2 linked regions of the Nothobranchius furzeri genome follow. The protein of the gene in region 1 purifies or fractionates together with the protein of each later gene. This does not show direct contact. Links are inferred from orthologs where the notes say so. Each region holds a gene or a part of one and is shown on either strand. Other genes may lie near its edges.

Region 1 (3,816 bases):
AAACAAAACCAGATCTCGGCGCTCAAATCAGGTCGGCCACGTTCATGGGCATCTCCTCCACGGTTGTATTGTAAAACGTCTCGATGTCACGAAGAATCCTTTTGTCCTCCTCAGTGACAAAGTTGATGGCAACTCCTTTCCTACCAAAACGCCCACCGCGTCCAATTCTGCAGAGAAGGACCTCGTTAGTACAACACCGGAGAGCACGGAGCGCAGGAGTCCACAGCTCTCCTCACCTATGAATGTAGTTTTCACGATTTGTAGGAAGGTCGTAGTTGATGACCAAAGAGACTTGCTGCACGTCAATCCCACGAGCCTAGGAGAAGAAAAACCTTACTGACTGTTGGCCCGGGTGGTTGACCGCTTTTAGAACTTTGCCGATGTTGCTCGTGTTTCAGTAACAGATTCCTACATCAAAGAATGCATTGTGGAGAACGAGCCTTCATCTCCCAAACGTTGGACCGTTTCAGTCATTTCAAGACTGTCGCAAGATGGACAACGATTTGGGTTGCAGTTTCAGGCAAGAACACGGAGATCTGGAATCTATACAAACCAGAAGATCTGTGGTGATCAACACTCTGCTGGAGCCGGACCTGAACTCCCTCATTATCACGTCACGCTCCTTCTGGTCCATGTCTCCGTGCTGGAGAGAAGAAAAACAACTACTCATCAGAGAACAGAAGAGAGTAGGACCTAATCAGCAGACCGACGGTGTCGTACCAGAGCAGAGACGGTGAAGTCCCTAGCGTGCATCTTCTCTGTCAACCAGTCGACTTTTCTCCTGGTGTTGAGGAAGATCACAGCCTGGGTGATGGTCAGAGTCTCGTACAGATCACACAGTGTGTCCAGTTTCCATTCCTGTAAACAGTCATTAACATTAATTAGTTGTCGTCAACAGAACATCAACCTGACAGGTCTGAACATCAGGAGGAGTTCAGCAGCAGGGTGTGTAACACAGGATCTTGAGACAAAGGAACTGGAACATTAAGAAAGAGGTCCCTCCCAGTCTCCTTTGCAATTCTGTGATGTTAATCTTCTTCCCTGGTGTACCCATGCTTACACGGCCACATGAGCTGAAACAGGTTCAGCTCCTGCAGTTTGAGCAGGGTGCTTTAGAGAGAAGGTAATCAGTCCAGCAGCACCACAGCAAACCAACCTCTCTCTCCACATTTATGTAGAACTGCTTGATACCCTCGAGCGTGAGCTCCTCCTTCTTCACCAGGATGCGAACAGGGTCCCGCATGAATTTCTTTGTTACCTCCAAAACATCAGCTGGCATGGTGGCCGAGAGCAGGACCACCTGAGGAAGGAACGACACGTCAGAACACGACACCAGAACATCGACACAGAAACCTTTAGCTCTGCGGCCAGGTGTAGCACGTCACCTCGAGAATGCAGCCAGCGAACATTAAGAAAGAGGTTCGACCACATCTCATTTTCGGTTCAGTGCGTTTTAATCTCCGTCTGCATTGTACTCTGCTAGCATTATTGCATGGAACAGAACAACTGGACCACACAACTACAGCACAGTTCTTGAACTGCAGAAGGGTCGCCAAATCACCACGAGTCTCGCCTCAAGGCTCTTTGTTCTGCTACGGATACTCACTTGAATGTTTGTACTCAGTTTCTGAAAGATCTCGTAGATTTGATCCTTGAACCCTCGACTCAACATCTCATCAGCCTCGTCCAGAACAAACATCTTGATCCACTTAGGGGCTGCAGAAAAACATACACAACAGTCAGATGGGCTCACTTCCAGAACGTGTGCTAATCTCCCTCCCAGGAGCAGCGATACCCACATAGATGTCTCCTGTTCAGCATGTCATACACACGGCCCGGGGTGCCCACCACTATGTGAGGAGCCTCGGCCTGAAACTTCTGAATCTCACTGCGAAGATTAGTCCCTCCGATGCAAGCATGGCAGGTTGCCCCCATGTAATCACCCAAAGCCAAGATTACCTTCTGAATCTAAAGGGAGATGACAAAAAATGCCACCAGTTCAGAAATGGTGCAAATAAAAATGCAAACATAAGCAGAAAAAAACGGTTTGGAGTGATCAGTAAAGCAAAAGGAACTCTCCACATCAAGAGTCAGTCCCGAAAGATGGTATACCATCATATCACTCGGTTTCCGCATCAACAAACAGAATTCAATCCAACTTAATCATCTTGTAGACTGATGCAGTCACGGACAGAGACTACACCAATCAGAAGATGGCATCAATTATTTCATGAATTTTGACAAATCTGTAAAAGACGGTACCTTCACATCTGAACAGTGTCCTCAGTATGCTGCCTAGGCCTGAGACACTGTTGAGGTTATCATGACCTCAGGAACAGCATACCTGCTGAGCCAGCTCTCTGGTGGGAGCTAACACCAGAGCCTGGGTCTCCTTCTGTTCAATATCCAGCTGCTGCAAGATAGAGATGGCAAACGTGGCTGTCTTGCCTGTGCCTGACTGGGCTTGAGCAATGACATCATAGCCTAACGATGAGAGAATTTGTATTAAAACTCCATAAACATCTCAGATAAAACGATACAAATCTCAACACGGCCTCTTAAGAGTGATCAGTGAGAAAAAAAATATCACCATAATTTGGTAAGTCCCGAAAGATGGTTAAGCATCATTTCACTCTATCAAAAACCACCACGCAGTTCGACTTGTGTACCTTTGATGCAAGGAATGATCGCCCTCTGTTGAATGGCCGATGGCTTTTCAAAACCATACGCATATATTCCCCGGAGAAGGGACTCTTTCAGGTTCATATCATCAAAGTTGTCTGTAATCTCATTCCAGTTGCTCTGGAAAAGACAGAACAGGAGTTAGCTGGAATCTTCACTGGTCCTGTTTTTGGCGTTTTCACATCTGGCCTGACCCCGTCTTTGCAGCGTCGGCATGCCCCCACGCGGCCAAGTTTTGTTCACCTAGCCTTCTCCGGAACATGTCTCCGAGCACATGGGTGGAGGCGGAGAAGTCTGTGGTGTTTCCCTTAAGTTGATAAACAGGTGGTTAGGGATGTCCCGATACAACTTTTTTTCACTTCCGATACGATATCGATATGCAGCCTTCAGTCTTGACTGATACCGATATCAGCACAAATCATAACTACTTGTACCCATTTCATGGTGTGGAATGCATAAAAGGCTTGATAACAGTGATATTACTCAACGAGAAAACAAAAGCCAGCAACAGTAAGTGTAAAAACGGACCAATTTTTTCATTTAACTTTGATTGCATAACAGTGGAGGGATGGGATCTAAGGAAAAAAACAACATTGTTCACTGACCAACTGCTACAGGTTTCAAATTCACGCACTGCAAAAACCCTCATGCAATGTTTTGTGATCCTGCTTCAGACGCACGATGCAGCTGGACTTTTTCATGTTCCACCACAGGAAACTTGTGCATGGCAAGCGTTGCACCGAGTCTTTTTCAGACTTTAACAAAAAAATAAAGCCACATGGCCGACATTGTTCCTCGCTACTTTGATAGCACATTGTTCTGATCACGGGGACTTTGCATGCTGGATCTGGGCGCTGAGGGATAGAACTGCTGGAATGGAATTTAAAGAGGAACGTACTAATAATATTGGAGATTTTTGATGCAAACCGATATAATCTGATAGTGTTTGTGGGCCTACATCTGATATTAATATCAGAACGAGACTAGGGTTGTCACGGTAACCGGTGTAGCGGTAAACCCCGGTAAAAAAGTTGACAATAATAATAACAGTCTTGTTTTTTAAAAAACATATTATCGCTGTGGATTATCGTGGCTGCGGTGTAGGCGCGGTGACCCTTACCAGCCACCGTATCA
Region 2 (4,473 bases), on another chromosome or scaffold:
GGTGACCTTTGTTACTGTGGTCCCAGCTCTCTGCAGGTCATTCACCAGGTCCCCCCGTGTGGTTCTGGGATTCTTGCTCACCGTTCTCATGATCATTTTGACCCCACGGGATGAGATCTTGCGTGGAGCCCCAGATCGAGGGAAATTATCAGTGGTCTTGTATGTCTTCCATTTTCTGATAATTGCTCCCACAGATGATTTTTTTCACACCAAGCTGCTTGCCTATTGTAGATTCACTCTTCCCAGTCTGGTGCAGGTCTACAATTCTTTTCCTGGTGTCCTTCGAAAGCTCTTTGGTATTGGTCATAGTGGAGTTTGGAGTCTGACTGTTTGAGGCTGTGGACAGGTGTCTTTTATACAGATAATGAGTTCAAACAGGTGCCATTAATACAGGTAACGAGTGGAGGACAGAAAAGCTTCTTAAAGAAGACGTTACAGGTCTGTGAGAGCCAGAGATTTTCCTTGTTTGAAGTGACCAAATACTTATTTTCCACCCTGATTTACAAATAAATTCTTTAAAAATCCTGACATGTGAATTCATGGATTTTTTTTCACATGCTGTCTCTCACAGTTGAAGTGTACCTATGATGAAAATTACTGACCTCTGTCATCATTTTAAGTGGGAGAACTTGCACAATCGGTGGCTGACTAAATACTTTTTTGCCCCACTGTATACTGTATATAATTCACAAACACTTCTTAGAACATAATTTAAACTGGATTAATGCCAACCCGTACATAATAGACATGCCACCATTACATTGTTAGCTGCAGAAATGAAATGTTATTACAATTTCCAATACAAATGCATGTTAATGAAATGCATTAGATTTTACTGGATATATTTATGTGTTATTATGCCTAAGATGAGGGTTATTAATATAAACCTAAAATGTTACTGAAATCTAGGTCAAATATTTAAACATATTTTAACTATATATATCAGATGGACAAAAGGGAACTAAACACCATTCTAATGCATATTATTGAGCCTTTTATAATAAGAGTGTTATTTCAGCCTGATAACTTAGTTGTTTTATTTCTGTGATTATAGACAGTTGTACTAGATTAACTTGAAAACCACACTAAAGAAAAGCTGCAAAACTAAAAACTTTCAAAAATATTTAAAGTTCCTTAAACAAGAATGACAATAAGCATATTTAAAGTGTACAGCTCTTTATAAGAGGTAACAAAAGTCGGTGAACGTTGGTGAAAGAATGTTGGATTAATGTCAATAGCCTTGAGTAAAAAAAAAAAGGTTTGACTTGTCCTATTCAGACATGAAAAATATATGAAACTGAAAAGGCGATAGCTTGCTGCTGGCATCTGCTACAACCTGCTGCCCCATTCAGAAATCGAAAACACAAGGTGGTGGTGATCCTGAGAGGCAGGACATCAGGTTGAGACATCCCAACCAAAAGCTAAGCCTCATTGGATGCCATCAGATCACAAAATACGCATCTCTGCTTCTAGCAAGCAGCAAACATCCACCCAATGCCACCCCCCCCCCCCCCACACACACACACACACACACCATGCTGTAAATAAAACAGGAGGTGACACCCGCGCGGTGACTTCACTCCACCAAAAGGTGATCTTAGGCCCCCCATCTTATTTAACTCAAAGGTAAACAGATAGTTTAAGTGACAACGCATCCTGGTGCGAGCAGAACCCGCATGTATGAGGTGAGACTTTCCGGCATCACAGAAGGTAGAATCAGTTTAAAAGCCCGGAGACACCTTCTGAAGAGATTATCAGCTGGTATTTTAACAACCAGCTCGTACCAAATGCCCATCTGTCATTCACTGAACTCAACGCCCCCCTCAACAGCCACTGGGGTTCTGAGACACCGGGCCTGGTACTAGCCTGAATTAGCTCAATTACATTATAAAACCATAGATCAGGACGCCGAAGTGGATGACGCCCTTCAGCTCGACGTTGCATCCACTGACCTGTACACTTTTTAACCACAAGGGGCTGTCTTTGGTATAGCAGCTGCAGTGCTTTAACTCGGCTAACGCATCTTGCTAGTCAACAATCGGCAGTGAACAAAGCCGGTCACCGGTGAGAAGAACGATAGCTTACCGGTGATGAAGCTTTCCTGTCTCAAATAAACTTTCTCTAAATCATAATTTTACTTTCCCGCTGGGATTAATCACGATATATACATATATTTCATAAAAAAGTAAGCTAATTCAGTGAAGTGGCGTCAACTAACAAAATAAACCTGACACATTTAGCTTGGACAACCGGCTTGATTAGCTAACGTTAGCATGCTTAGCTAATTGTGCCCTCTCCCCTCCCTCCAAATTAAACCATCATTTCTACATCCATGCTCTATTATCTAGCACGAATAACACTATGCAGCGAGTGACTATTAAGAAGTACAATGTAACTCCAGAGTCGCACTCAATTTGTGTGTTACCCATGTGAAAGGATACGGAGGTGGAACGGCACCAGGCTGAGGTGCAGTTGGGGCTCCAGGCGGCAGAGACACGGAGGTCAGGGTAGCCCGTAGTTGACTCGACGGAGAGGGGCCACTTCCAGGTCCGCTAACTGCGACAGCGGCGGGCTTAGGGACCACTTTCGATGGCAAACTCATCGCAAGAAAAAAAAATCAAAAAGTAAAACAATACCTTAATACTGATATAAACAAAGCTTAGCTTGCATACATAAAGCAAGCGTTGCTTGAAGCATGCCCCAAATCCCGTTACTGGAACTGGGATAACGAAGCTCGAAAAGCAATACAAACGTCTTTTTTCATGAAAAGTCGCTGTTCGGATCAGCGGTGCTATTCATGGGGACGGTGGGAGGTTTAGCCTCCCTTGTCCGTCCGGAACCTCTGCGGGTCCGTCTCGGTTCGTTCCTTTCAAATCAAATTAATGACGCGGTTCTCAACCTCCTTTTTGCGATCTATCTTTTCTTCTCGGCAATAATGTGTTCTATCATTTTTTTCTCACAGAAATGAGAGACTTCGCCAACATGGCGTTGCAGCCGCTTCTGTCCGGGCAGGACAGATGATTCGGCAATCCTCGGGTACTTACGGAATCACTCGGCTAATCAGCGAACCTTCAAATAAACAGTGCGCGCGTATCCAAAACGTGAATGGTACATGCTCCCCCATATCTCCCAGTTCTGTAAATAATATTTGAGTCCTGGATAGATCTTTGTTGCATTTAATCAATTGATGGAAATAAAACTACATGAAGTAATGCGCGCATCCTTTTCTGGTAATTTAACTGTCTTTATGGGCAAAGATAATCCTAGGACTGCCCAGCTCATTGCTTCAATAGGACTCTGATTAAAAACGTGTTATCACTGCCATCTGCCGGTACACAGGCGGTACTGTACCTGCAAACTAGCAACACTTGTTCCTTCAGGTTTATTTTAGCTGGTTAAAATCTGACATCACTGAAAAAAATGAAGGCAAAATAAGATTTAAGGTTGATCTTTAATATACAAATAATTTGCAACAGTTTAACATGTAAAAGGAACGTGACACAGCGGCTTAGAACCTGCATAACTTCTGAATTACACTCTCCTTTGAGATTTACACAAACGGATCAGAATTATTGCAGTGGCTCAAAGATAATGCTGAAGATTTGCCACAATTTTTGCTAATTAAACCTTGAAAGTCATTGGAAAGTCTTTATAAAAATATAACTATAAATACACTTAAAAAACCAGTTACTCCAAACATTAGAACAGTTCACAAACATATTCACACATAAGAACAAAGATTTCTGCTTATTAACCATAGAGTGAGCAAGCTGTTTTCAAAGACTGAGCTGCCCTCCTTCTGTGTCTGTATGAAGGGTTTCCAGTGTTTATAAAAACACTTTTATAACTACATTTAGGTTGAGTTGTTTTGTAAATTAGCAGTCCTTGTGGGGAAGCAGAAAGGAGTGCAATCCTCCACATGAAGCAGGCACATTGCATCCTGATAAGGAGACTCACAGGCTTTAAGTGGCAAGGCATTAAGGGTTTCAGTGGTTCTCACATTTTCGTCCAAATAGACGTTGTCAGAATATCACAGGCTTTTCACTCACGTTCACCTCTTCTCACTTAACAGCACTTCACAGAAAGGCCTCACCAAAGCTCACACTTGTGTTTAGGATTCATAGGAGAATCTGCTCCGCAGCCAAAGTGCTTTGAGAACTCTTGTGAATTGGAGATTGTGCCTATGACTCTAAATCTTGATGGACTGTGAGGATCTGTGATCACACCCTCATGGGAGCTCTCAGGTGTCCTGACAGCACACCATACCTGCAAGGGACCAAAAATAAAACATTAAATTGATTTCTCTTCAAACTGTTAAAGCAACAATCCAGATGCTTCCTCCTTTTGGGAATCATCTTTAATTTTTAGGAAGCCATAAAAGTGATTGTCTTATCCTTTATAGCAATATAATGTCGGCAATATGTAAAATGTTTTGTTACTAAGAAAGCCCTCTGTCCTTTAGAGCCACATGCA

Evidence for each region.
Region 2: the proteins of eif4a2 (region 1) and eif4g3a purify together in Homo sapiens (affinity purification with mass spectrometry; 3 studies listed by BioGRID and IntAct, with this or other methods). This does not show direct contact. The link is inferred for Nothobranchius furzeri from reciprocal best matches to the Homo sapiens genes EIF4A2 and EIF4G3.

What each region holds. Positions count from the first base shown.
Region 1 is NC_091751.1:69,534,796-69,538,611, reverse strand, and holds part of eif4a2 (eukaryotic initiation factor 4A-II), read right to left. Parts: intron 2,990-3,816; exon of another isoform or gene 2,877-2,989; intron 2,803-2,876; coding exon 2,670-2,802; intron 2,636-2,669; exon of another isoform or gene 2,563-2,635; intron 2,485-2,562; coding exon 2,345-2,484; intron 2,126-2,344; exon of another isoform or gene 2,051-2,125; intron 1,969-2,050; coding exon 1,800-1,968; intron 1,717-1,799; coding exon 1,607-1,716; intron 1,550-1,606; exon of another isoform or gene 1,370-1,549; intron 1,301-1,369; coding exon 1,157-1,300; intron 1,126-1,156; exon of another isoform or gene 946-1,125; intron 859-945; coding exon 721-858; intron 644-720; coding exon 554-643; intron 317-553; coding exon 237-316; intron 168-236; coding exon 23-167; 3' UTR 1-22. UniProt on the Homo sapiens protein: ATP-dependent RNA helicase which is a subunit of the eIF4F complex involved in cap recognition and is required for mRNA binding to ribosome.
Region 2 is NC_091743.1:76,800,230-76,804,702, reverse strand, and holds the start of eif4g3a (eukaryotic translation initiation factor 4 gamma 3), read right to left. Parts: upstream 2,816-4,473; 5' UTR 2,603-2,815; coding exon 2,442-2,602; intron 1-2,441. Other genes in the region: ece1 (endothelin-converting enzyme 1), read right to left, coding at 4,090-4,266. UniProt on the Homo sapiens protein: Component of the protein complex eIF4F, which is involved in the recognition of the mRNA cap, ATP-dependent unwinding of 5'-terminal secondary structure and recruitment of mRNA to the ribosome. Functional homolog of EIF4G1.